7 linked regions of the Mus musculus genome follow. The protein of the gene in region 1 interacts with the protein of each later gene in a pairwise test. Links are inferred from orthologs where the notes say so. Each region holds a gene or a part of one and is shown in the gene's direction. Other genes may lie near its edges. The genes, in order: Ndn, Mkrn2, Lax1, Gkap1, Apbb1ip, Eid1 and E2f1.

What was found.
Region 2: the proteins of Ndn (region 1) and Mkrn2 interact in a two-hybrid assay, tested with the Homo sapiens proteins (2 studies listed by BioGRID and IntAct). The link is inferred for Mus musculus from reciprocal best matches to the Homo sapiens genes NDN and MKRN2.
Region 3: the proteins of Ndn (region 1) and Lax1 interact in a two-hybrid assay, tested with the Homo sapiens proteins (2 studies listed by BioGRID and IntAct). The link is inferred for Mus musculus from reciprocal best matches to the Homo sapiens genes NDN and LAX1.
Region 4: the proteins of Ndn (region 1) and Gkap1 interact in a two-hybrid assay, tested with the Homo sapiens proteins (2 studies listed by BioGRID and IntAct). The link is inferred for Mus musculus from reciprocal best matches to the Homo sapiens genes NDN and GKAP1.
Region 5: the proteins of Ndn (region 1) and Apbb1ip interact in a two-hybrid assay, tested with the Homo sapiens proteins (2 studies listed by BioGRID and IntAct). The link is inferred for Mus musculus from reciprocal best matches to the Homo sapiens genes NDN and APBB1IP.
Region 6: the proteins of Ndn (region 1) and Eid1 interact in binary tests that used the Homo sapiens proteins (3 or more experiments, as listed by UniProt). The link is inferred for Mus musculus from reciprocal best matches to the Homo sapiens genes NDN and EID1.
Region 7: the proteins of Ndn (region 1) and E2f1 interact in a two-hybrid assay, tested with the Homo sapiens proteins (2 studies listed by BioGRID). The link is inferred for Mus musculus from reciprocal best matches to the Homo sapiens genes NDN and E2F1.

What each region holds. Positions count from the first base shown.
Region 1 is NC_000073.6:62,346,873-62,350,428, forward strand, and holds Ndn (necdin), read left to right. Parts: upstream 1-1,404; 5' UTR 1,405-1,535; coding exon 1,536-2,513; 3' UTR 2,514-3,056; downstream 3,057-3,556. UniProt on the Homo sapiens protein: Growth suppressor that facilitates the entry of the cell into cell cycle arrest.
Region 2 is NC_000072.6:115,600,698-115,604,737, forward strand, and holds the start of Mkrn2 (probable E3 ubiquitin-protein ligase makorin-2), read left to right. Parts: upstream 1-1,240; 5' UTR 1,241-1,290; coding exon 1,291-1,316; intron 1,317-4,040. UniProt on the Homo sapiens protein: E3 ubiquitin ligase catalyzing the covalent attachment of ubiquitin moieties onto substrate proteins.
Region 3 is NC_000067.6:133,687,309-133,691,486, reverse strand, and holds the start of Lax1 (lymphocyte transmembrane adapter 1), read left to right. Parts: upstream 1-1,378; 5' UTR 1,379-1,678; intron 1,679-2,482; 5' UTR 2,483-2,580; coding exon 2,581-2,666; intron 2,667-3,188; exon of another isoform or gene 3,189-4,178. UniProt on the Homo sapiens protein: Negatively regulates TCR (T-cell antigen receptor)-mediated signaling in T-cells and BCR (B-cell antigen receptor)-mediated signaling in B-cells.
Region 4 is NC_000079.6:58,271,389-58,275,580, reverse strand, and holds the start of Gkap1 (G kinase-anchoring protein 1), read left to right. Parts: upstream 1-1,392; 5' UTR 1,393-1,507; intron 1,508-1,759; exon of another isoform or gene 1,760-1,947; intron 1,948-2,849; exon of another isoform or gene 2,850-3,031; intron 3,032-4,192. UniProt on the Homo sapiens protein: Regulates insulin-dependent IRS1 tyrosine phosphorylation in adipocytes by modulating the availability of IRS1 to IR tyrosine kinase. Its association with IRS1 is required for insulin-induced translocation of SLC2A4 to the cell membrane.
Region 5 is NC_000068.7:22,871,827-22,875,326, forward strand, and holds part of Apbb1ip (amyloid beta A4 precursor protein-binding family B member 1-interacting protein), read left to right. Parts: intron 1-1,722; exon of another isoform or gene 1,723-2,333; intron 2,334-2,973; coding exon 2,974-3,495; 3' UTR 3,496-3,500. UniProt on the Homo sapiens protein: Appears to function in the signal transduction from Ras activation to actin cytoskeletal remodeling. Suppresses insulin-induced promoter activities through AP1 and SRE. Mediates Rap1-induced adhesion.
Region 6 is NC_000068.7:125,671,934-125,675,991, forward strand, and holds Eid1 (EP300-interacting inhibitor of differentiation 1), read left to right. Parts: upstream 1-1,258; coding exon 1,259-1,738; 3' UTR 1,739-3,710; downstream 3,711-4,058. UniProt on the Homo sapiens protein: Interacts with RB1 and EP300 and acts as a repressor of MYOD1 transactivation. Inhibits EP300 and CBP histone acetyltransferase activity.
Region 7 is NC_000068.7:154,559,893-154,563,392, reverse strand, and holds part of E2f1 (transcription factor E2F1), read left to right. Parts: intron 1-302; coding exon 303-455; intron 456-1,931; coding exon 1,932-2,046; intron 2,047-2,142; coding exon 2,143-2,362; intron 2,363-2,457; coding exon 2,458-2,705; 3' UTR 2,706-3,500. UniProt on the Homo sapiens protein: Transcription activator that binds DNA cooperatively with DP proteins through the E2 recognition site, 5'-TTTC[CG]CGC-3' found in the promoter region of a number of genes whose products are involved in cell cycle regulation or in DNA replication.

The sequences.
Region 1 (3,556 bases):
TAAGAAGCAAACTAATAACACGTCTAGGCTGGAGTTTAAAACAAGTTATTGTACATGTGCAAATATTCTCAAATCTGGAAAACTCTGAATCGCTTCTTGCCATAACTATTCTGGGTAAAAGATAGCTGTTATATCTAAACAAACATATTTTAGAACCTAGGAATGCCAACATGATATCTTAAATCTGTCCGCTTTAAGTGATGAGAAGGGCTAAGGAATTCCATTATTTCAGAACAAGAAAGATGATCAAATCTAAGGACTTCTGGCTTTGGAAGCTTCAACAATGGTCATTGTATAAAGGAGAGTTTGAGGAAATATCAGCTTTAGATGACCTCTCGATCTACCTTTTTATTTTTGGACACCAATATGTTGCATCTTATTCATGAGAGACTGTTAGGTATCGAAAAGAGCTGCATTTAAAATATATTGGGAAAGATTTGGATGTGCTCCCAACATGGAATTAGTCATTTGTGAATGACATAATTTAAGAAGTAGAAGATTTCTTATAAACGCAGAAGATGCAGTGAGCAGGGCAAAAAGGTAGTGGGAAAATATGAAAAATACACTGTCATAAAATGTGTATTAATAAATATGTTGATCATTTTCCACTAGAATCTTAACGGAAGCTTTAGATGAAAACAAAGTGACCTAATAGAAATGGAGAGCCCAAATCTATAGTTATTAAAATAATTCAAAACCAACAAACTGAGCATCCAATGATGAATGAATGCATATATATATATTTTATATATCCCTCATTTTCATGTGGGGCCTGGGGGATTTAAATTCTGGTTCTCATGCTTGAACTGCAAAAGCTCTTAACCACTGAACCAAGTCTCATTTTAATTAAAATTTTAAACTCCCATCAATTATGCTATATGAATCTACTACTTCTAGAACATTCAAATCTCACATGGATTTATCTCCAGTGTCTGTAACTACACTTTACATTCTTCCTTGTTTGATCTGCATTCAGATATGTAAGAATTTATCTCTATTAATAATTTCTCAATATTCCAATCTTAAACAACTCATCATCATCATAAGGTACAGCTTTCCAAAAGAAAAAAGAAAAAAAAGTCATTTCTGTTTCTCTTATTCTTTTGTAGAAAAACCAAAATCAAGAATTAAGTCTTTCTCCAGGACCTTCACATTTAATTTGATTTTGCACAAACTCAGTGTGTCCGAACTTAACTTCACCATCTCAGCTACATCTTTCTCCTTCAACTTGTTTCTTTCCCTACCATCATCTAGTTCTGTGCCATACAGGAGACCAGGAAATCTTTTACATAAGCCTAGTGGTACCCTCCCTTAGACCCCAGTGGTTGGGCTTTGCTGCTTCGCTCCTTTCCAGCCCTACCACCCTTCTGGCTTCCCAACACGCATGCGCAATATCGCATCAGCCCCGCCCGCCCGCTGCTGCGGAAGGCGCAGTGCTCAGTAAAGCGCACTTCCTCTGCTGGTCTCCACCGAGGGAGTGCCCGCTCCAAGAGCTCCAAGCCGCATCGGTCCTGCTCTGATCCGAAGGCGCAGACATGTCGGAACAAAGTAAGGACCTGAGCGACCCTAACTTTGCAGCCGAGGTCCCCGACTGTGAGATGCAGGACAGCGATGCCGTTCCGGTGGGGATCCCTCCTCCCGCTTCTCTGGCCGCTAACCTCGCAGGGCCACCGTGCGCTCCCGAAGGCCCTATGGCAGCCCAACAGGCCTCGCCACCGCCCGAAGAACGGATAGAAGATGTTGACCCTAAAATCCTGCAGCAGGCCGCAGAGGAGGGCCGCGCCCACCAGCCCCAGAGTCCAGCCCGGCCGATCCCAGCACCGCCAGCCCCTGCCCAGCTGGTGCAGAAGGCGCACGAGCTCATGTGGTACGTGTTGGTGAAGGACCAGAAGAGGATGGTCCTCTGGTTTCCAGACATGGTGAAAGAGGTCATGGGCAGCTACAAGAAATGGTGCAGAAGCATCCTCAGGCGCACCAGCGTCATCCTCGCCAGAGTGTTCGGGCTGCACCTGAGGCTGACCAATCTCCACACCATGGAGTTTGCCCTGGTCAAAGCCCTCAGCCCAGAGGAGCTAGACAGGGTGGCGCTCAACAACCGTATGCCCATGACAGGCCTCCTGCTCATGATCCTGAGCCTCATCTATGTGAAGGGCCGCGGGGCCAGAGAGGGTGCGGTCTGGAATGTGCTGCGCATCCTGGGGCTGAGGCCCTGGAAGAAGCACTCCACCTTCGGAGACGTGAGGAAGATAATCACCGAGGAGTTCGTCCAGCAGAATTACCTGAAGTACCAGCGTGTGCCCCACATCGAGCCTCCCGAGTACGAGTTCTTCTGGGGGTCCAGAGCTAACCGTGAAATCACCAAGATGCAGATCATGGAGTTCCTGGCCAGAGTCTTCAAGAAAGATCCCCAGGCGTGGCCTTCCCGATACAGGGAGGCTCTGGAGCAGGCCAGAGCTCTGCGGGAGGCTAATCTTGCTGCCCAGGCCCCCCGCAGCAGTGTCTCTGAGGACTAAAAAGGTCCAGGGGCACACTGATAGTTTCTGACCCATACTAGGGCTGTGTAAGGGTGGGGTTGAGTCATTAGAGTATCCCAAATCCACAGTGCAGTATTTCATGTATAATTTTTAAGTTTTCCATACAGTGCTTTTGTACCTTGTAATGCTATTCATTTGTGTACTCGTGTAGTGTTTAAGATTGATGCATGTGTGATAAGTATTTGGTACTTTCACTTTTGTGCTTTCGTGCATTTTTGTACAAGAGATGTGCTGTGCTAAACTTGTGAAATACATTGAGGTGTTCTGTATCTTGTTCTTTGTATGGGACTGATGATCTGTATCGACAAAGAAGGCCCTGGAGAGTTAGCAGGACTTAACAGCAACGCAGACCTGAGCAAGAGAAAGGTCAAGGCCTTTCTCCATATGACTTCAACTGGCACAGGAAGCATCCATGTGGAATGGACTGATTTGAACTGGACTGTTCTCAGTGTAGGCACTTAGCACCCTTTACAAAACATGTATGCAACCCCACCATAAATAAACGTTAAAATGAGCATTAAAGATACTGTGAAATAATTTCTTGGGGGGGGGGAGGAGGCATTTATTTTTGATGAAAGGGGGAGTGGGAATGGGTGGGGATGAGAAAGATTCTCCCTGTGTGCAGCATAAGCAAACACGGTGTCCTAACACAGTGGGAGACCACACGACCACTCAGAAGAAACTTGCAGTGCTTTAATCAATTTGTCACATAAAAGGTATAACAACAACAACAAAAAAGCTCATTATCACATAACATGGGGATAATAACAGGTATATGGAGGGCCTGCCCCTTTTCTGTTGCATTTTTTAAAATAGTCTTTGATGGACACTTTAGCAGAATAAACCCTTATCATGCATTTTCTTCTTTATTTTGTCCTCCCACCAGCCATAAGAAGTAAGGAATAACTGTATCATCACAGAGCAAGAAAAAATAAAAGGGGTGTTGGTAATGAACTATCCTAAAACCTTTATACAGGAGTCTTGACACCAAGCTCCCCATGGCCACCACTCACACACGCACT
Region 2 (4,040 bases), on another chromosome or scaffold:
CCCCTTCCATGATATTCTCAGAGCCTTGCTAGCAAGGTCAGGGTATTGGCACACATGTTCTATTTAGAGCTGAGCATTCAGAAGTCCTTACCTGTTTTTACAGTGTACCACCTCTATAAAATGAAAAGAATACCCATAATGTTTCCAGAGTACTATGCTGTTCATTTTTTCTTCTTCTTCTTTTTTAAATTTATTTATTATATGTAAGTACACTGTTGCTGTTTTCAGACACACCAGAAGAGGGCACCAGATCTCATGATCTCATTTCGGCTGGTTGTGAGCCACCATGTGGTTGCTGGGATTTGAACTCAGGATCTTCAGAAGAGCAGTCAGTGCTCTTAACCGTTGAGCCATCTCTCCAGCCCCCTGCTGTTCATTTCTATACAATGCCAACTCAACACAATAAACCAGGAGACACTTTTTCAAAGCTGATAACACAACTGTAGTTTGCAAAAATCCAAATTATATATATGTACATACTGCTTCAGTGTCTGCCTCCAGATTCCTGCCTTGAGTTATGTACGTATGTATGTATGTATGCATGTATGTATGTATGTATGTATGTACACAAAAAGATCAGTACGGGGAGAGGATATTTGGTGTGGATATAATCAAATACATTGTACACATGTATGAAATTATCCAAAAATAAATAAATAAATAAAAATTCTTACTAGAGGATGGCTCAGTGGTTAGGAGCACTGGCTGTTTAGTTGGGGACCAGGGTTCAGTTCCCAGCACCGACATGGTAACTCACAATCGTCTGCAACTCCAGTTTCAGGTGATCTAACTCCCTCTTCTGGCTTGCACCAGCACTGCATTCCACTTGGTGTACAGCCACACATGCAGGCAAAAACACTCATATCATAAAATAAAGATAAATAGTAAAATTACTTTTATCATCATTAACATCATCAATCATCATCATCATCATCTTAAAAGACTGCCTTGAGAGATGGGGGCCGAACCCTAGAAGTAAGGGCCTCGCAGATGATTGGTAAATTCAGTATACTAGACATGCTCAGACCCTTAGCCTCAGAAAGTTGGGATCCGGACTACTAAGGAGTAGGGACCTTCCGGCTCCAGGCCCTGGCGGAACCCATTGTGATGGTGGTTAGGTTTCCGGGCGGCACCTTAGAAGTAGCGCACGAACGAGGGTGGCGCGCGCAGGAGTGACGCGACTCCGCGGGGGGCGGGGCGGGGCGGGGAAGGGCGGGGCGGGGCCGGGCTGGGCCACGGCGCTGGCGGCTCTGAGGTTTCAGTGCGACTCCAGCCCGTGGCCCCGCCGCCATGAGCACCAAGCAGGTCACCTGCAGGTGAGTGCGCGGCCCCTCTGGGCCTTGGGCGCTGCGGGGCAGCCAGGGAGGGAGGCGAGGGGCCGAGGCGGGCGGTGGCGGGGGGCGGACAGCGCGGATAACGCGCAGGAAGGCCGCATAGAGGCTAGAGCGGCAAGAGCTGCTGCAACCGCGACTTGCAGAGAGTGAGCGAGGGCGATTGCGGGGAAACACGGGCAGGTCGCATTTCTTATCCAGCATCACCACTGAGCCTCCGAAGAGTCCCATTTCGAGATGCAGGAAACCGAGGCCACCAGAGGTAAAGCGACACCCATTTAGGAACAGAAAGGCGGCTTGTTAGACGAAGTGGAAAGCAGAAAACTATTCCGTGACTACTATTTTGAAACAAAAATAGTTGGGTTGAGTAGCAACGTACTAACTTGGTGACGAGCTTGTGGCTGTCATTGGGGTCTAGTCCTGTGAGTTTGCATGCTCAGGAGGTGCAGCTTGGGAAGTAAGGCTTGTGAGAATCCCGACTGTGGAAACCCAAATTTCAAAAGGCTCCAAAATCCAATACTCTTAAGATACCTAAATAGAAGGCGGGCGGTGGTGGCGCACGCCTTTAATCCCAGCACTGGGAGGCAGAGGCAGGTGGATCTCAGTTAGTTGAAGCCAGCCTGGTCTATAGAGGGAGTCCAGGACAGCAAAGGCTACACAGAGAACTTTTTCAGGGTATGTGTATAAGCATATGTGAAATGATGAATTCTGTGTTTAGACTCTTGTACTATCCCCAAGACCTTATGTACATGAAAATACTGTAAAGTACAAAAAAAATTAAAGACTCTCCTGAGCCCAAGCTTTTTGGATTAAAGGAGCCTCGGCTTATACAGACTTTAGTTGGTTTCAGTAAATTAAGAAATTGAGATGTAGTTTGGATATGTGGTAAGCATTTAATGACCTTGTTATTTCTCATTAGTGCAGACTCCTAGAACTAATACCTTTATGAAGAGTTCTGTTCGACTTAAGATATTAAGGGTTGAACCATGTACCAAGGTCCCAGGTGGTTTATGTTAAGTAGTAATCAGAAAACTGCAGTTTGTGTATGTCTGTGTGTGTCTGTGTGTATGCATATGCTAGTTTTGTGTTAACTTGACAAAGTTGACATGAGACATCATCATTTGGGAAGAGGGAACCTCTTGGTTGATAACTGATGTGGGAGGACCCAGCTCACTGTGGGTGGTGCCACCTCTGGGCTAGTGGTCCTGGGTGCAGTAAGAAAGGCTGAGCAAGCCAAGAGGGTCAAGCCAGTCAACAGCACTCTCCTTGCTTCTGCATTAGCTCCTGCCTGGAGTCCTGCACTGGCCTCCCATAGTGATGGAGTAAGACACTTAAGTAGAAGATACCTACAAGTCTAAGCTCTCCTCCCAAAGTCGCTTTAGGTCCTGGTGATTTATCACAGCAATGGGAACTTTTCGGCAGTCCTGTAACAGTGCTTGCAGGTCATCGCTACTAGAACGTCTCTGTTGAGGATGAGTGAATGGGTACTTACTCCCTTCCGTCTGCAGGAGGACGTGTTCCTACCACAGTGGCCTTTAAAGCAGACTCAAGCTACTTAGAAAATAACCTCTAAAACTCTGCTTGTTTACAGTTTTGTTGTTTGAGACAGAGTCTCTCTGTGTATATCCTGAAACTCTCTATATGTATCAGGCTGGCCTTGAACTCAGATCTGCCTACCTCTCCTTCCCATGCAAGAATTAATTGCCACCACACCTAGATGGTTTTGTTTTTTTGTTTTGTTTTTTGTTTTTGTTTTTGAGACAGGGTTTCTCTGTATAGCCCTGGCTGTCCTGGAACTCACTCTGTAGACCAGGCTGGCCTCGAACTCAGAAATCCGCCTGCCTCTGCCTCCCGAGTGCTGGGATTAAAGGCGTGCACCACCACTGCCCGACTCCTAGATGCTTTTTAGTTCTACCACTTAAAGGCTTTCCTAAGACACGTGTCTACAAAACCTTCATGTAATGCTTAAGCCCGGCCATTTTGATTCTCCCCCTTTGTACCCGGAGATAGTTTTAGCTCTGTCTCACAAATAAGAGAACCCAAGATGTGGTGCAGGTAAGAGTTGGAATGCTGGGGCTAGATGGGTTGACTAGTGTTTGTGGTCTTCTTTCTGCTGCCTTGTCAAGTCATAGAATGTGTAGTGCTGTATAGTGCTATACCTGGATGAAGCATGTAACGAAGGAAGGCTGTATTTTGACTCTCAGTTTGCAGGTACAGCCCATGACAGAGGGGAAGGCATGGTGGCAGGAGCTTGTTGTAGCTGACCTCATACACTCAGACAGCAAAGAGTGCTGGTGCCGAGGTCACCCTTCCCTTTTTATTCAGTCTTGGGCCCCAGCCTAAGGATCGACACCTCCACACTCAGGATGGGTCTTCCCACCTCTCCCTCACAGTTGTGACAGGAGATTTGTCTCCTCAGTGATCTGCAGTCAGTAGCATCCATCACAACCTTGAGATCTGTCAACTCTATGAACATCTTCCACAGTGAAACGACCTTGGTATTGTCAGGTTTTCCCCAGGGTTAGCGTCAGAGTGACACAGGTGTGAAGCCAGCATTGAGTCTTAGACCCCGGGCTCAACTGCAGGACATTTCAGAGTTTTCACATGTTCTCATTCTCACAAAAATGTATGAAAAGGAGGTTTCCTTATAAAAGGGTATGAAGGACGGGACTGGAGAGTTAAGGATGCTGACTACTTCTGCAGAGAGAC
Region 3 (4,178 bases), on another chromosome or scaffold:
TTGAGGTAAATGCTGGCGAGAAACCCAGCAGTACCTGAAATGAGAGGTTACCCAGGACTGGGACTGGCTGCAGCAGAGCCAGGCCAGCAACAGATAGCCCCTCACCAGAAGCCCTGAGGAAGAAACAGTGGCCAACGGCCCTGTAACCCGGGCTCGGTTCCATTCCCACTATGATACCGGAACAGAGGCTCTGAGAGTATGAAACTCAGCTCACCTCTGGCATTATCACCTGCAGAAGATCTATTTATGAAGCCAGTCCACCCACGGAACCACAAGCGGGTGCCAGCTCTGTACAGCTCTCTAAACAACTAATTCTAGCTCTTTTGAGATCTGCTAAGAACCATTCTAAGGCCAGCATTGGTGGTACACTTTTTCAATCCCAGCCCTTAGGAGACAGAGGCTGGAGGACCTCTGAGAGTTTGAGGTCAGCCAGCCTGGCCTGTGTAGTGAAATACAGAACAGGGCAGTGGTGGCACACGCCTTTAATCCCAGCACTCAGGAGGTAGAGGCAGTCGGGTTTCTGAGTTCGAGGCCAGCCTGGTCTACAAAGTATGTTCCAGGCCAGCCAGGGCTATACAGAGAAACCCTGTCTCGAAAAACCAAAAAGAGAGGGGGGGGGAGGGAGGGAGGGAGGGAGGGAGGGAGGGAGGAAGGGAGGGAGGGAGGGAGGGAGGAAGAAAGAAAGAAAGAAAGAAAGAAAGAAAGAAAGAAAGAAAGAAAGAAAGAAAGAAAGAAAGAAAGAAAGAAAGAAAGAAAGAAAAGCCATGGATGTGTAGAGAAACCCTGTCTTGGGTTGGGAGCAGGGGTAAGAACCATTCTGAGCCCTGAGCCTGATTCACACCTGTAAGCACATCACCAGGGACATTAAGACAAGAAGCTACTATGAGTTCAGTCAACTTGACCTCTGAAGGGAGATCTGCCTCACAAAAACAAAAAACAAAAAAAACATAGTGTGCAAGATGGTTCATTGGATACAAACACTTGCCTCTGTCCAACACCCTAGTTTGACTCTTGAGACCAACACAGTAAGTAGGAAAGAACACACTCCCTCCAGTGTTCTCTGACCCCCACTCATGTGGCACGGCATGTGTGCAGACACAGTAAATAGATGTGAAAAGCATAAATAAGTAAAGATAACCAATGACAATAGCTACGCAAGCACATTGTCTTGAACCTTCGAATTTTGACCCTAGAGGTTTTTAACACTCAGAAAAACAGGGTGAATAGTCATGTCTCTGACTCTTCAACCACATGGGCCCCAGATGCCAGAGTGCCTGTGGGGAACAGGAGGGCTGAAGGTGGGTTTCCTGCTGTCTGGGTTGAGCGGAGCATTTCCTGTGCCCTGGCCTTATTAGCACACCGGTGGAGGGTGCTTCCTGTCAGCGACTTTCCATTCTGCCAGAGTGGTTTGCTGTTTTCACACTGCCCTGGGGGTTGGAGGAAGAAGATTTTCTCACGAAAACGCTGGGCCTCTTGACAGTCGCCTCCCTACTCCCCCACAGGCCCCTCATGTTTCCATCAACTGGCAGAAACTAGAGAGTGGCCCTACTGCTTCACACTGGGAGCACAGACAGCTGGGTGAGAAAGAGCACGGCTCCTGCAGTGGGCATTGTGGCCACCTCCAGTAGACCAACTCTGATGAACCTTCTACCAACTCAGCCTGGAATTTCAGGTGAAGGTAGGGAGGTTTGGGTCTTATTACTATTGTTGTTGCTGTTAGTAGTAGTAGTGGTGGTACAGCCGTTCTGTGTGTGTGTGTGTGTGTGTGTGTGTGTGTGTGTGTGTGTGTGTCTCGGAAGATCAGAAGATAATTTGTAGGAACCGGTTCTTGCCTTCCACTATGCATGCAGAGGGTAAACTTGGGTCATTAAACTGGCAGTAAGTACCTTTACCTGCAGAGCCATCGCACCAGCCCAAAGAAGGCAGTTTGTTGGGAGAACATTCTAGAACAGAAGATTAAAAGCTTCAGAAAGAAACAAAAACTAAAAACCAGTTTTGTATGTGAGAACCTTGGTGAATATGATCTAGGAAGAATGACTGGGAGGTGGCTGCATTGCATGAGGTACTCGAAGCCCTGGGGTTCCAGCTCCAGAACCACCTTCATGAGTGCGGTGGTGCACACCTGGAAATCCCAGTGCTGAGGGAGCAGAGGCAGAGGATCAGAGTTCAAGATCCTACACCCCCCATATATGTATATGTATATGTATATGTATATGTATATGTATATGTATATGTATATGTATATGTATATGTATATGTATGTGTATATATGTGTATATATATATATACATATATATATATGTATATATATATATATCATCTTGGGTACTTAAATAAGAAATTTCAATAGTACAAAATGATACAATTTGGAATACATAGGGATTTGGAGAATTTTCTGTCATTCTATTATCTACTTTTTTTTTAAAAGGTGATTATATGCAAAATGCATACCAGTTTACCCTTTTTCCCCTCTATGAATCAGCAACTTAGAAAGAGCTAAGAAAAGTGGAAGCCATACTGGCTAGTCAGTCACGACACTGAAAAGGCTTAGAAGCTGCAAAGCCCCTCAGAGGTCCAGTGATGTACAGCACCCCGGCCCCTCCAGAGGTCACAAGAAGGAACTCAGAGCCCAGCACTCGGCAGGGGACTCTTGGCAGCCTGCAGGGGTGAGTGCTTTGGGAAAGTGAGCCCCAGGGTCCCCTGATCTCCTACAGGAATGGTCTATTTCCAACCCAGACCTGGGTCCACCAAGATGAGCAAACTTGGGGAGCTAAGAGCTGTTTCCCCGAGGGATGCTGGGAGGGAAGAAAAGAGATACTGGGGTTGAGGGGAGAGGGACGGACTGACTGAGAGGTGAATTTCTGAGGGGATCTTCTTCCACTCAGAGGTCCTGACCTCTGCCCTTGAGATTTCCAACCTCTTGGCCTAATCCCTGCAATGAGTTTTTAGATCCTAAAGCCCTTGTCATGAGTGAGAAATGTAACTGCAGACGTCATAAAGTTTTAGGACCTTACAGAGCTAGTCACGGATGTCAACGTGCTCCGGAAGTTTTCAATCTCAAATACACAAAAGGAAAGCATCTGTTGATAGGGCGCTGAGATTTTAGAAACATTAGAATGGGTAAATTCCAGCTCTTCCATCAAAGTAAAAACCCAATGACAGTGTATTCTGTTCCTGAATTGCTGTAGTTTCAGGAAAAGTCAGCGTGATGACCAGAGTAAATCAGTGTCACGAGCAGGTCAAACACAAACGAAGAGGACCAAGTTCCTATCCATCGCTGAAGCCTGGAGCACCCTCTTAAAATGAGTTCCCTCTTTATTATATCTGGGGGGAGTAGAATGGTGTAGAGGTCAGAGGGCAATTTACAGAAGTCAGTTTCATCATATGGGTGTCAGGGATCAAACTTAGCGTGTTGGGCTTGGCTGCAGGTGCCTTTACACACTGAGCCCTCTCACTGACCCCTTAAAACTATTTCTTTTTTAAGTTGACATTTGCTTTATTGTTGTTTTCTCTTTCTTTTTCACTTGGTAGTCAGTAAATAAAATCTGTACTTATGTATTATGTTTAGCACATAGTTTTGCAATACATGTGTATTATGGATGGCTAAATACCGTATGTATTACGTGACATATCCTTTTATGAGAGGATGCTTCAAATAACACTTTTAAGCAATGTTCAAGAATCCATTACTTTCAGCATTGCCATGTTGAACTTCTTCCTTCTACCTGACCTTTGGCACCTCTGGGAACCCTCCCTTACCACCTCTGGTGACCTCCATTCTATTCTCTGAGTCTCTGAGTTCAATCTATTTAGTCTCTGCATATAAGCAAGACGGAGCAGGACCTATCTGTTCCTGGGTTCTTTCACTTAATGCTAGGTCCTCTGGGTCCATCCACCATGTCGCAAATGACAAGATCGTCTTCCCTTTTAAAGCTCAGTGATATCTTTTGCATGTGTATTCCGAATTCTCTCTATCCACTTATCTGTTGATAGACACGCGGGTTAATTCTGCATCTTGGCTATGGTGACTTTTGCTGCAAAGATTATGACAGTACAAACATCTCTAATAAACACGGGAGTACAGACACAGTTTTCATTTGCTTTGAATAAAGTTCTTGTAGTGGGACTGACAGAGCATATGGCGATTCTATTTTTAATTTTTTGGGATAATTGCCATA
Region 4 (4,192 bases), on another chromosome or scaffold:
TTCTTTCAGCTGTTTTAGAACTGCTTCAACTGCTTATGGCCACCTATTTAGCTGCCTTCAACCCCAGTCCTATGAAAACCGGTAAGTAGCTGCATCCTCCTCTTCCAAGTGTTCACGCTCCCTCTTACAAGCAACCGGGTCTCAAGACCTCATTTCTCCCTTCCCAATCAGATGTTCAAATCCTGTAGAATGCACCTCCACATCACTTCTCAATCATTTAAAATTCTTCCTGCCTTCCTTTATCTTGTCTTGCCCCATCCTCTTGGCCCCGACCCCCGGATCAATCTTTCTGTGTAGCCACCGGCCTTGGACTCACTTTCTGATCAGCTTGCCAAGTGTTGGGGGCTCATAGCCGTGTGTCCTCACCGCCCCCCCCGCCCCCCCATAGCTCATCTGTTATTACCGTCTGCCTGGTCTACACAGGACTGCCAGTTTTCAATCTCTAACATCTGCAGGAGTTACAAAGCAAAAAAAGCCTTCATTTCTTCCTTCAAACTTCTAAATCCTAAAACATCAAATATTGCCTTAAACATCAATCCTTACTCTTGGAACTCAGCCATCCCTCACCACCGCCGCCCCCCTCCCTCATTTTTCAGTCGTCTCTGCCACTTGTCAACACCTCCAATCTCATTGTGGAACGCAGCGTCCAATGGCCTCCATCCAAGGCCCCGAGGTCTCCCCGCAAAACCCCACCTCTTCCCAGGCCAAATCCAAAAGCCTCCTCCCTCGCGCTGCCCCAAAGATGCTCGCAGTCCTCGGATCCCGAGTAACATTCTCTTTTTCCACCGGGCCCTAGGGTGATCTGGCGTCTTCTGCGATTCTTTGCTTCGCTCCCCACTGTGTCCCCCACGTCTACACCCGCGGCGGTGACTCGCGCGGGACATCGCCGGGCAGCCCGCACGGCTGGGCGGTAGCGGACGGGTTTGCCGGTAAGCCGCTTAACTTTGCAAAACTAAAGCGGCCCCGGAGGTGCTCCCGCGGGAACCCAAGGCCGTCCGGCTGTTTGCATCTCGTGCAGCACCGCCCTCCCTCGCCGACTGGAGGTCCGCCTCCGCCCCCGGGCCTCCCCACAGCCTGGCGATCCCGCCGCGCGCCGCCCGCGGCGGCCTAAGCCTCCTCCCGGAAGGCCTCCCACCTTCCCGGCTCCGCGACCCCGAGGACCGCGGAGCCGCCGCCTACGCGAGCCGTTTGGACCCTGCGCGGCCCCCGTAGCGCGGCTCCTCCAGCAGGTGGTTCTGGTCCTCCGCAGTCCGTCCCCCGCGGACCTCTCCTCGGCGTCAGCGTCCGCCGCGCTGCGACCCTCGGCAAAGAAGTCCCGCGCGCCGGCCGGCCACGGCGGGCGCCAGGCTTGCGGGTCCGCCCCGCCCCGCCCCGCCCCGCCCTCCGCGCGCCGCCGCCCTCCGCGGGCCCGTTACTGCGGACGCCCCGCGGCCCGCGCCCAACGCCCGGGGGTAGCGCGGGAGCGGCGGGGAGACGGGAGCGGCCGCACCGCGGCGAGGGAGGCCCGGTGAGTCTACGGAGCCTCGCAGCTCGTGGCTGAGGGGACGCGGCCGAGTGCGGCCTGAGGCGGGGAGCGGAGCGGAGCGGAGCCGAGCGGGGCTGAGCCGAGCGGGGCCGGGCGGCGGGAGGGCCGCGGAGGCTGCGGGGGAGTGCGGGCCGCAGGCCTGGTCCGCCGCGGCCGGCCGCGGGAGTGACAGCAGGTGCGGCCGCCCGTTCGGGGCTCCCCGGGGCGCCCACCCGACGCCGGTGTCGCTTGCAGGCTTGGACACCGCGTCTCGGCAGCGGCTGGGGCTCGCCCAGCCCGCCGCGCTCTTTCTCCGGGTACTTCGCGAACAAGTTTTGGAGCACCCGGAACTGCTCGTGCGTGAGATTTGGCTTCGGTTCCCGAAGGAGGAGAGAGGGGCTGCTCGCCGCTCGCCTTCCCTCCCTCCCTCCCAGCAGCCCGAGGTAGATGCGCAGGCTCTCGCACAAGCCCCTGCTGTCGGGGCTTCCAGCAGCTATGCGCGGCGGCGGCGGTGGCAGCGGTAGGGTGCCAGCCTCGGGGTGTCTGTAAACGCGGAGCAGTCGGGGCAAAAGTTTATCCCATTGTCTGCCCCGCTCCCTCCACTGGCGACATTTCTCAAGGGATGTCGGTGGAGAGTTCTAGCGAGAGGCAGAGGCGCTGGAAAAACACAAGCATTGTTCTTCAGCCTCGTCTGTTTATGTGAAGGCGCTTGCGCCCGCCTGTCACGGGAATGAAGTTAAGCTGTAGCTCCAGAAATACTGGAGAAACTGCCGAAAGATGGTAATGCTGTATTGAGAATCTTCCTAGAAAGCCTGGGGTTTCCCTACACTAGCTTATGCCACTAAAATCGGTTAGTCTAAGCCTCTTTAATGTGATTTTTCACTAAAGATCGAAATACACCTGTTTAATATTAACCCTAGGGGCTTCTAGCAATCACTCTAGAGCGAGAACCTACACGTGGATCAGAGGGACGTTGTGTGCAAGTGAAAATCACCTTTGCACTTCATGACTGAATTCCTTAGTACATGTCTGCAGTTTGCTTTTTGTTTTTGTTTCTAAGAGTTCACAACCCACAGAAGTTGAGAGCTTCGGATTAGAAAAGGAAGGCTGCACCTAACCAGTGTGTGTGTTGCGGGGGGGGGGGGGGTGGGGGGGGGTGGTGGAGCTCCGGGTATGCCTTTAAGTTTATGTCATTTTCGATAAGTGTGTTGGAAGCAAAAGTTTCAGGACCGTTGGTCCTCGATCCCTGTAACCTTAAGTTCTAAGAAGTCAAAATGACAGTCAAGCAGCCAAGAAGATGAGGGAGACCAGGCCATTCCTTTTCCTCTCATTTTGTAATTCGTAGGGACAGTGCTTGGCATCAAACCCAGGGCCTCTTGGAGTCGCAAGTCCTCAGTCTGTTGTGTTTGATCTGTTAGAGTCCACCAAGGCCTCTCTAGCTGCACGAACTGGTGTACACCTGTATTCCCAAGACTCAGGAGCCTGGGACAGGAGGATTGAGAGTTTGGTTCCAGTGCAGGCTACATGGTGAGAGAGCTGCCCTCTCAAAGCATATGGCCATATTAACTGATGACATTGACATTGCATAGTTCCGTTTTGGATCAAGCTAGGTGGTTGATAGTGTTGATCGACACAGTCACTACTGTTCATTTTTTAAAGGGCTGAAATTATGTACTTAAGTTCCCCCAGGCTCAATTCTTTCCCGACACTGATGTCATAGAAGAAGGTGCTCATGATGGCAGTGGCCCTTCATAGAGACCAAGGCCTCAAGAAAACAGGTCATTCATTTATAAATCTTGCTAGGCGTAGCTTGGCCTGTTCCTTAGTAGCAACAGTTTATCTCACACCCTCACCTTTTAAAAATCAGCAGTTTGACACAAAATCCAAAGCTTCCTACAAAAACAAGATTCCTAGGGGGAAAAAGATGAGTTGTGGAAACACTTCGTTGTGACGGTGCTGTTAGTTAGATGGTGTGTGCTCTCCACCCTCAGTGTTCAAGTTCAGAGCACAGATTCCAGTGCACACTTAGGTATGGCACTGTGTGATTGGAGAATGTAATTAAGCCTCAGTCAGTAAGCTTGAGGTCATGATTAACTTATTTAATGTTAATAATGTTAATTAATGTTTCTTCTTCTTTTTTTTTTTTTTTTTTTGCTGAGACTGTTTTTTACTGTGTAGCCCAGTTTAGCCTTGAACCTATGACCTTCCTGCCTTATCCCTTCCAGTACTGAGACTGCAGATGTGCCCATTACAACTGGCTGATATCTGTGCCAAGTCCTTGATTGATATATATATATATATTTGGGAATACAAAGAAGAGACCTGTGTTGTTCAGCATTTTGTAAATCAGGACAGTAGGGAGCTAGATACAGTGGTAGCTGTTGAAAGAGTCCATGAAGAACAGAATTAAGTGTAAGTGCAGGAACATTAACGAGAAGGCAGATCAGAATTGCAATGGGGCTAAATTTGAAGAACGGAGAAGTTTTAAGTGGAGGAGACAGACATTCCAGACTCCAGGAACAAGTGAACACTGAGCAGTCTGTTTTCTCGCAGAACAGGGAAAGTGGGAGAAATCACTGTAGAATGTAAGTGAATTACTTTTTTAATAAAAATATAGCCATAAATTAATCCAGCAGCTGTATTTCTTTGCTTTATTCCAGTCCCCAATAACCACACAGAGTAACAATA
Region 5 (3,500 bases), on another chromosome or scaffold:
AGGGGTTTCCTTCATGTCATAATAAATTTCACGTCCTTTCAGTGAGCCCTTGAGACTTTCAGGTGTTTTGTTTTGTTTTGTTTTAGTGAATTAAAGCAATTGAAAATTAGTCGGGAACCCTATATGAAGTGCCAAGTGAACCCCAAGACCGGATCAGAAGATTCCCAAAAGGGGTCCACTTATAAAATGTGCATTTTATATTTTTCACTTAATGACTTGAATACATACTCAGGGTGATGGAAAAGAAAATACATTTAAAATAATAACCAAGAGCTAGGGGTGCAGATCAGAGACACAGCACGTGCCCTATATGTGTGAGGGTATGTGGGCTCCATAGCTAGCACAGACGGAAGGAAGGAAGGAAGGAAGGAAGGAAGGAAGGAAGGAAGGAAGGAAGGAAGGATGGAAGGAAGGAAGGAAGGAAGAAGGCAGGCAGGCAAGCAGGCAGGCTGAAATATAACATCCTCCATAACTTTTTATATAAAAGAGACTAATGAAGATTAATTTAAATTTGTATAAAACCCATAGATGCTTGTAATTTAGTTATTAATCCAATTCAGGTGACTCTTGAATTTCCACTGAGTGTTTCTTGTGGTGCAGTACAGCTCAGACTAATTGTGGTCCTGTCCTATCACCCACATATTACAATCCACGTGCACAACTTCAATAATTTTCTTCATCCACACCTTCAAAGGTAAAAGTGAAAATTGGTGTTCACTTAAAGATTTGTTGTTTTTGAAAGCCATTTCAGACTTTTAAAAGCTGTTTCTCTAATCTATCCAAACCTGAGAGTCTGACCAGGCAGTGTTCTTTCTGTTATATTTTCATTATTTCTGTAACATTAGTCAAAAAGAAGTATTTTTTTAAGAAGGAATGAAAGAACCCCAGAATAGAAATAATTTCTTTGTGAATGCCAATACCTAATCTGCCTGATCCAAAAAAATCAAGAAATAAATCACAAGTTTATGAGCTTTGCATGCTAAGTAAATAAATGAAACACAATTGAAACTCATTGAAAAGTACTTTGCTAGAAGAAAAAAAAAAAAACCTAAATTTAATATCTAGTAGTTCAGGCTGTTAAGCAGAGAAAAAAAATGCTTTAAAAGCTGATAAAAATGTAAATTAAAGTGATGATGGTTTTCACCAGAACATAGTCATTCAATTCAGCTGCCTGAAATTGCTGGGGACGTTACATTTATATAAATACACTGTTACTTAAATACACATTGTTATTGCCATTGTCAAGTCCTCTATTGAACGCTGTAGACCTTAGAGTCTAGAGAGACTTAAGCCAGGTCAAGTGTTCTGACTCTAGGGCTTATCTCACTATAACATGAGGCAGCTCATGTTCATTGTATACCTGAATTTCATAACACACAAGCACGCACTCACACCCACACACAAATGCACACACACAATTTTAGACTATGTGTCCTGCTTCCAACCTCTCCCTTCTGGAACCTTCTAAGGTACAAGGACAAAGTTTATGATCAACTCCTCCTTAGAAGGGCAGAGTCTAGGAACTGGAACCTTTGTTCTAAGAACAGTGCTGCATGGAAATTTCATCCACAACCAAGGGAAAGATTGGACACACTCTCCAGCAGGAAGAGATCCTTTATGGCTTTGTAAAAGAGTTACCTGTCACCCAGACAGGATTACTTCTCAGTTTCTTCACTTGTACATTCTTCATCCTAACCAAGCAGGCTGTCTAAACAAAGAGGATTTCTTTTAGCATAATATTCTTTATTTATTCTTTGAGAATTCACAATTTATCTCAAGCACATTTATCCCCCATCCCCCCATTCCAACTCCTCTCAAATACCCCCTCACTCCCACACACTCTTCCTTCTCAACTCCATGTTCCCTTTTTTCTTATAACCCACTGAGTCCAGTGTTACCTATATACTCATGGGTATAGGGCCATCCACTGGGTCACAGTCAACCTGCCAGGGACCATAGCCCTAAGGAGAACTGACTCTCCCTCCTCAGTAGTCAGTCGATCCTCAGCTAGGGGTAGGAGCTCCTATACTTGTGCCAGCTGTGCTGGAAAGTCCACTAGCTGGATCTTATGCAGGTCATGGCCTGTCATGTCCAGGACATACTTTCACCCTCATCTTCTCCAACCTCTGGCTCTTACAGTCCTTTTGCCTCTTCTTGTTCCAGAGAACTGAGTCTTGGGGGGGGGGGGGGAGGGTGTATTACAAAGATGTTCCATGTATGAGTGAGCACGTCACTGATACTTGTTCTCCGCACCTGGATCAGTGTGAGTCTCTGTAATGACTGTTGGCCACTGTGCAAAGAATTTTCTCCGATGGGGACGAAGCAGCACTAACCTAAAGATACAGAGAGAGATTTAGAAGGCAGTTTAAAACTTTGTCCATTTAGTAAAAATAATAGTATGTTCACCCCTAGAGTCTGTGAGCTCTTTAGCCAAGTGCTTCACTAGATTTTAAGCCAAGATATTTTGGTGAACACTCTGAGATGCCCCTTAATTACCTCTATGCTGTCAACGGTGTGGCACAGAGGGATAGTTCACTCACATATACTCATGCACACACCTAAAATTGTGTTCCTGCATATGCCCACTGATAGCTTGCCTTAGGTCAGGAGTAGGGAGTCTTAGAGAATCGTCTGGTTTCCAGTTTGAGTTGAGTTAGGATTTATTAGTACTTTAGAGAGACATTTAACTTCTGTGTAAGACTTGCTAGGGAAGGTCTGTGCTTGTCCTAAACACAGTAAACACCTCCTAGAGTAAATGTGGTTAAGATGCCCAGTTACAGAGCGTGCTGTTTTAGTGCTCACATCTAATGATGTGACAGACATTTGGAATCATTCCTGTGCCTGGAGAAAGGTGAGCTCATGAGCACGTTAAGACCCAGTGTAGGAAGGAATGGGGCAATCCCATCAGCGGCAATGCCACATGATGGATGTACTGTCAAGAACTGTAAGAACTCTATTGTTTCTTTATTGAAGGATGAAAAGCAAGGCTTGGGTAACCATTCCCCAGGAGCAACCAGGGAGAACCACCGTCCTAAGTCCAGCCTGCCACCGCCACCCCCTCCAGTAAGACGGTCTTCAGACACCTGTGGCAGCCCCGCCTTGCCATCCAAGGTCAAGGGCCCTGGCACCTGCACCTTCCCCCACCCGCCGGAGAACTTCCTGCCACCTCCACCGCCCCCACCGCCTGAGGAGGACAACAGCGGGCTACTCCCGCCACCCCCGCCCCCGCCCTACCTGGAGGAGCCACCAGACTTCGTGCCACCACCCCCACCGCCTGCAGCTGTTGAAGACTCTGCATTGCCACCCCCGCCACCACCCCCGCCCTGTCTCTCCCAGGAGATAACTAAGTCATCTCCGTTGCCCCCCAAAAAGCCCCTAGTCCCCCCCAAGAGGCAAGAGAACCAAGGACTCCCCGGTGCACCAGGGAACAGTGAGCAAGATTTTATGTCAGACCTCATGAAAGCATTGCAAAAGAAAAGAGGCAATATACCCTAGGGACA
Region 6 (4,058 bases), on another chromosome or scaffold:
AGGATCATGTAACACTTTGGAGAAAAGTTCGCTGAAGAATATAAAAAATGACCATTGGCAAAAATTATATAAGATAAAGAGGAATGCTATGGAGCATTGTCTCTTGGACATGACAGGGCCATTGCATCCACGAATAATAAACTAAAGCTATGGAAAGATTATAAAGATACAATCAAGGCTGGAGAAATGGCTCAGCAGTAAACAGCATCGGCTGCTCACACTAAGGACCAGGGTTCGACTCCCAGTAATCACAGGGCAGTGTACAACTGACTTCGTTTCTAGGAGTTCCAACGCCCTCTTTTGGCCTCTGTAGGCACAATGCACACACGTGGCACACAAACATTACAGACAGGCAAACAAACGCATACACACGAAAGAGAGATCAAATTGATAAAACTTAAGTTTACTTATATTAATTCCATAAAACAATACGTGGTAAGGGTGTGGATATTCTCAAACACTATTGGCTACAGTTTAAGTTTGTAGAGCAACCGTGGCGCGTGATTATCTGTATATATTTAAAATATGTATAGCCTATTTTCCACCTTTCTTTATCCTAGTACTCACACATGTATGTGGTTTAGTTTCCCCATGGTATATACGTGTGGACATACACACAATTTATCTTTGGTTAGGTCAACTTCAATAAATTCAGAAGAAAAAAACCGAAAAGTTAAATTTTCTCAGTGCGCAGGACGGGACTAGTGGGATTTGAAATGGTGAGAGGTAATGGACATGCTGATCACAGGAACGCTGGGGAGGCAGGGAGGTGGAGGAGAGATGGCATCTGTGACAGAAGGCCAGGGCTTTCCATCTAGGCAAAGCAAGCACTTGGCAAGGAACTTAGAGCTGGTCTCCAGGTGGGTCACCAGCGGAAGCATCGCGGGTCCTGAGTGGGTGTGAGGGTGAGGTGGGAGTCCGGGAAACATAGGGGGTGAGGGGTGGGAAGGGAAGAGCTCGCGCCCGCGCCCGCGCCCGCGCACCACGCCCCCCCCCCCCCCCGTGGACCAAGCGGCCTACTCGCCAGCACACGCACGCCATGCTGGCACGCGCACCACGCCCGCCTACCCGTTTGCGCACGTGAAACGTGCTCCGCACGCGCATCACGCATGCCCACTCGCCTGCGCACGCGCCCCCCCCCCCCAGCTCGCGCTCCACGCACGCCCTCTTGCCTGCGCACGCGCACCACGCCCGTTCGCGCGCCCGTCTCTGCAAAAGGTTCCTTTTTTTTTTCCACCTTGGTCGAGTCGCTTCCACCATGGCGGAGATGGCAGAGCTTTGCGAGCTGTACGAAGAAAGCAACGAGTTGCAGATGGACGTGCTGCCCGGCGAGGGCTATATGGAGGTAGGCCGCGGGGCCCGCGGGCCGGCCCCGGAGGAGGGCCCCATGGAGGAGGAGGCCGGGCCGGCCGCCGCCCGCGCCCAGCGCGGTCTGTTCCCCGAGGCTGGCGCGGACCTGGAAGGCGACGAGTTTGATGACTGGGAGGACGACTACGAGTTCCCTGAAGAGGAGCGCTGGAGCGGCGCGATGCACAGGGTGTCCGCCGCCCTGGAGGAAGCCAACAAGGTGTTCCTGCGAACCGCGCGAGCCGGAGATGCCCTGGATGGCGGCTTTCAGGCGCGGTGTGAGAAGAGCCCTTTCGACCAGCTAGCTTTTATCGAAGAGCTGTTTTCGCTGATGGTTGTCAATCGACTGACCGAAGAGCTCGGTTGTGATGAGATCATTGATCGAGAGTAAATGCTGACGAGAGAGGAGGAAACTACCTGAGAGGGAGAGATTCAACATTCTGCTATTTTGGGGTTCATTCCAAATAGTTCTGTGCAAAAAATAAAAACAGTTGGTTTTTGTTTCTCGGAATAGAAGACGGGACAGTGAATGACCATGCATTGTGGAAAAGGAGAATCGAGGAAGGAGGAGTGTTAAACCTGAGAATCGCGAGGAGAAAAAGACCAAATCGTTCCTCTTTGGTCTCACAGGGGCTCAGCAAAAACCTCTGGTTCAGACTGTTGATCGAGATGATTTTCCTTACATTGGAGAAGAGCTTTCTCTGTTAAGCTTTTAAAGATGGTTTGGAAGAGTAAATTGTGACTACCAATACAAGAATCTAATTAAAGAATGGGGGGAAATACATTCCAAGATGTCTTTAATTCGAACTGAAAGGCTATTGAAAAAAAAAAAAACTTTCCAAATTCTTTTTGGTGATTTATACACATCAGTTATCAAAAGCTAAACTTGAGGTTTAAGATTGAGTATTCATCTACCCCACAGAGTAGTCCAAGTAAATGTGGGTATAAATGTAGACGTGTTATCATGTGTGCTGTCATCTTAAAATGTGTTACAAACGCTTCTGGAATTTTGACTGCACATGTATCTTCATGATTTATAAAGCTACTGTGACCTCTAATTTGGAAAAACCCATTGTAATGATTTTCAAAGTAAAGAAAGAAACAGGATGTCTTTTTAAGGTTTTAAGTTCATGCATTAAATAAAATGTATGGGAAAGCCCAAAGACAAACTTTCTAATACCCTTTTATACTAGGGAAATTTCACTTGCTGTTTTGTACCTTGACAGATGGTAAGACTATAACTGAAGTTCATATTGTAAGAACTGTTTGCTAAAATTGTCAAGTAAAAAGAAATCCTGCCTGTATCTATAAAAAGATGTATGAGCTATTATGTTGTCAAACTTTGAAGGTTTTAAACCTACCCAGAAGTCCACCTGGGTGTCTGATATTCATATTCTCTCTCTCCCTCTCTGCCTCTTTCTTCCCCTCCCCCTCCCTTCTTCTAATTATGCTTGTTAATCTTTATGCACCAGCATTGGCGATAATAAATTTTCTTGTTCTGTGTATTTTGCTTTGTCTAATAGCTTTGCATACATGCTTTATACAGGATTCTCTTGCTGTGTGTGCCACGCCTCCATCTTGATATTTAAACATCCAATGCTTACAATGTAAACCAGTATCAAATATCCAAAAAATGGGTTCTGGGATGTTAAAGCAAATTTCAGAGTTTTCTGGAAGACCCGCTCTGTGAATGTGATGCTATGGCTTAATTGATGCTGAAGTTCCTTGAGAAGAAAATGATGTATTAGCACGATGTCCCTGCTGATGCCACCATGGCAACCAATACAGAACAGAGCTGAGACAGTAGGATAACTCCTGGGTTTCTGTGGGGTTGGTTGGTTGGTTTTACAGTCATCTTGTTTGAGAGGCTGCCGAGGTGGTTCAGTGGGTAAAGGTACCTTCTGCCATATAGCCAAGCCTGATGGCCTGAGTTTGATCTCTGGGGTCCATGTGGTGGAGGGAGGGAGAGAGACCTCCCCCAAGATTGGGCAGGCCTGTTAGTAATTTTAGACCCTCACCTGGGATTTTAGTTGCTCCTGTACCTCCAAAGCACCTGTACATAATTTTGCCCCGGTTACATGTGGTTTCAGAAGGTGCTAAAACACAAAAGGTGGGAGGTTGGCTGATGTTAGGTGGGGACTCGTGTTTGGGAAGCTGTCACCCATGTTAGGGTAGGACATTTAGATAGAGCCGCTACAAACACTTCCATGGGTAACCCCTCAGCCCTCTTTTTTACTCACCCAATAAATTGCCTCACTAGTTGGACTTGAGGGAATCATTTATTGATCTGTTATTGGTATTTACCTGCTGTAAATAGACTTTTGTTCACATCTCCACAGAAATATAATACAAATATCCATAAATTTGAGTGTATTTGTGTTTGGGGACCAAAGTATATCGTGGAAGTTAAGAGGAGAAGCCATGCATTGGTATTTCTTTGTATCCTTTATTCTGCATTTATCTATCTATCTATCTATCTATCTATCTATCTATCTATCTATCTATCTATCTATCTATCTGGGAGATTCATGCCACAGTAAGCAAAGGGCAAAAAATAACCTTCAGGAGTTGCTTCTCTCCCAGCATTTGGGTGGGGCCTAGGGATCAGACACAGGTCATCAGGCGTGGTAGTAAACTCTTTTACTCACTGGACCCTCTTGTATTTATCTTTAGTTTTGTGGCGATAGGGTCTCACTATGTAGCTCCAGCTG
Region 7 (3,500 bases), on another chromosome or scaffold:
TTCTTTTTACTTGATAGTGTGTCTCCAAATCGTTTGTATCTAATTCAGCTGTGTCATTCCATGGCATGTTTGTGCTATTGTTTTCTTACCTGGCTCCTTGGTGGGTGTTTGTTGACTGATCAAGCATTTTACTGAGCCCGTGCCAGTCTTACTCTAAGCCTACCTGGGGAGCAGAGCCACAGAGGAAAAGGAGCTTGCCAGCTTCTCACAGAATAGTGGTGGCAACAGATTGTCTTGAGGGTTAGGGCTGATGGATGGGTTGGGGGCGCAAGGACTGCTAATTCTTCACTGGCTTCCCACAGAGGCAGCCACACCATGGTGGGGATTGGTAAGCGGCTTGAAGGCCTGACCCAGGACCTGCAGCAACTGCAGGAGAGTGAGCAGCAGCTGGATCACCTGATGCACATCTGTACCACACAGCTGCAACTGCTTTCGGAGGACTCCGACACCCAGCGATATCCTTGGATTGGTCAGGGTGCATTGAAGGCCGACTTGGCCAGTGGTGGCGCCGCACTACTGAGACTATAGAGGTTACCTAGGGCTCTGATGATAAAAAATTCTGGCTTTGGAAACAAGACCTGGCTCTACATTGACTTACCATGTGACACCGAACAAGTTACTTGGATTTTATGGGCCTCAGTTTCACCTATAAAAGAGAGGACAGTAATATCTATTTCCAAAATTGTACATATTAATAGAAAAATAGCCAGGGCTGTGGTGGCGTGCACCTTTAATCCCAGCACTTGGGAGATAGAGGCAGGCGGATCTCTGAGTTTGAGGGCAGGCTGCTCTACAGAGCCAGTTTGCTGTCTCAAAAAAAAAAAAAAAAAAAAAAAAAGAGAAAGAAAAACGCTGGGCATGGTGGCGCACGCCTTTAATCCCAGCACTCGGGAGGCAGAGGCAGGCAGATTTCTGAGTGTGAGGCCAGCCTGGTCTACAGAGTGAGTTCCAGGACAGTCAGGGCTATACAGAGAAACCCTGTCTCAAAAAACAAAAATAAAATAAAATCTGACATTCTCTTCTGCTGTCTGAAGACAGCTATAGTATACTTATATATAACAAATAAATCTTTTTTTAAAATCAAGTAATACATTTTAAAAGAAGCCAAGGACTGGAGAGATGGCTCAGCAGTTAAAAGCATTTGTTACTCTTACAGAGGACCCAAGTTCAATTCCTTGCATGTACATGGTGGCTCACAGCTATCTGTAGTTCTAGTTATAGTGCATTTATGCCCTCTTCTGACCTCCAAAAGCACTAAGTGCTTGTGTGGTGCACATACAGGTATGGAAACCACTCATATACAGAAAAGACCAGGCTGAGAACAGGGATACAGACTCTGGGGGAGCAGAGCCATGGGGATATCTGAACTCAGGCTGCTCTGGTCCACATGCTAGGCTAGCCAGGGCTACCCAGTGAGACCCTGTCTCAACCAAAGAAGGAAAGCCCAGTGTGGTGGTATATACTTGTAATCCCAGGGCCAGGGATGAGGCAGAAACTAACACTGAAGGCCAATTGAGGTTATAGAGTAAGACATGCAACATAAGCATAGGTCACTGGATTACACAGACCCTGTCACCAAAGAGTGACAAACCTTTCCTTGGTCATTAATTTAGTTCCCGATTGTAGCTTCAAAGTTAAGACTTTAATTCACAAAAAGAAACTATTAGAAAGTGTGCCTTTTAGTGAATATCATTATCAGTAAGATTGTCAAAATCCATTTCCCAGTCCAGACCTGTTGAGCATTTGATATGAAATTATTACAGGCAGCCATGAGTTTGGAATTGGATGGGTAGATAGTCTCACTGTTGAGAAAGTTGAAGTTTAGTAATGAGATTCTGGGCAGCTACTATGGGCCAGGTGGTGGGATGAGGGTGTCAAAAAGGAGTGACTGGGGAGGCGTATGTGAGTCAGTGGTCCTTGACTCCCCCAACCCTGGCCTATGTGACCTGCCAGGACCTTCGCAGCATTGCAGACCCTGCAGAACAGATGGTCATAGTGATCAAGGCCCCTCCTGAGACCCAACTACAAGCTGTGGATTCTTCAGAGGTGAGACTAAGGACCCTAAGCCTTTCCAAGACAGGGAGGCTGGGCTGGTGCTCACCTAGGCCTTACCTATCTATCCTGCCTGCTGCCTCCACCCAGACATTTCAGATCTCCCTTAAGAGCAAACAAGGCCCCATTGATGTTTTCCTGTGCCCGGAGGAGAGTGCAGACGGGATTAGCCCTGGGAAGACCTCATGCCAGGAGACATCCTCTGGGGAGGACCGGACTGCAGACTCTGGCCCAGCAGGGCCTCCACCATCACCTCCCTCCACATCCCCAGCCTTGGATCCCAGTCAATCCCTGTTGGGCCTGGAGCAAGGTAGGTAGGGCCAGGGTTTGTAGTATTTGGCAGGCACTCATGGCAGCCCCTCTCCTGCTGGGCCTCTCCTAACTTGTAATGCCTCCTTTCTCCAGAAGCAGTATTGCCACGGATGGGCCACCTGAGGGTCCCTATGGAAGAGGACCAACTGTCACCACTGGTGGCTGCTGACTCACTCCTGGAGCATGTTAAAGAAGACTTCTCTGGGCTCCTCCCTGGGGAGTTCATCAGCCTCTCCCCACCCCACGAGGCCCTTGACTATCACTTTGGTCTCGAGGAGGGTGAGGGCATTAGAGATCTCTTTGACTGTGACTTTGGGGACCTGACCCCTCTGGATTTCTGACAGAAGCCTAGGGATTCAGGGTGTCTGGAGATGCCCACCTGTCTGCAGCTTTGGAGCCTCCTGCCCTGGGCCATCCTTCCTGCCTCATTGGAATAGCACGATCCATACCCTCTGTCCCAATAGCTTCTAGCTCTGGGGTTTGGTTGCTGCCACATTGAGCAGACCAAAATGGGAAGGATGTTGTACAGTGTGTGTGCATGCACCCCACACTGCGCACTGTGTGCCTGGGGTGTGTGTCTGAGTGTGTGTGTGTGTGTGTGTGTGTGAGTGTGTGTGTGTGTGTGTGTGAGTGTGTGTGTGTGTGTGTGTGTGTGTGTGTGTGTGTGTGTGTGTGTATGTATGTGTATGTGCACGTGTGCCCGGGAATGAAGGTGAACACATCTGTATGTGTGCTGCAGACACATCCTGGTGTGTCCACATGTGTGCATGGATCCATGTGTGCGCATTGGGGTGGGGGTGGGCTCTAACTGCACTTTTGGTGTCCTTGCTGCAGGGGCCCTGTGAGGCCCAGGGTGGCTGCCTGCTTTCAGAATCCTGTGTGTCAGCCAGGCCGGGTGGTACAGCTTGCCTGGCTGGGTTTGCAGGGCAGCAAGAGCACTGCTTAAAAGTTTTCCGATCGAAGCTTTAATGGAGCGTTTATTTATTTATCGAGGCCTCTGGCAAGCCTGGGGGGATAAGCAAAGGGTGGGGGGCATGGGTGATACCTTAAGTCCCTGTTCTCTGAAGCAAGGGCAGGATCCCTACCCAAGAGTTGCTGAGGCCCAAGCAGTTTATTTATTGGGAAAGGGAGAGGGA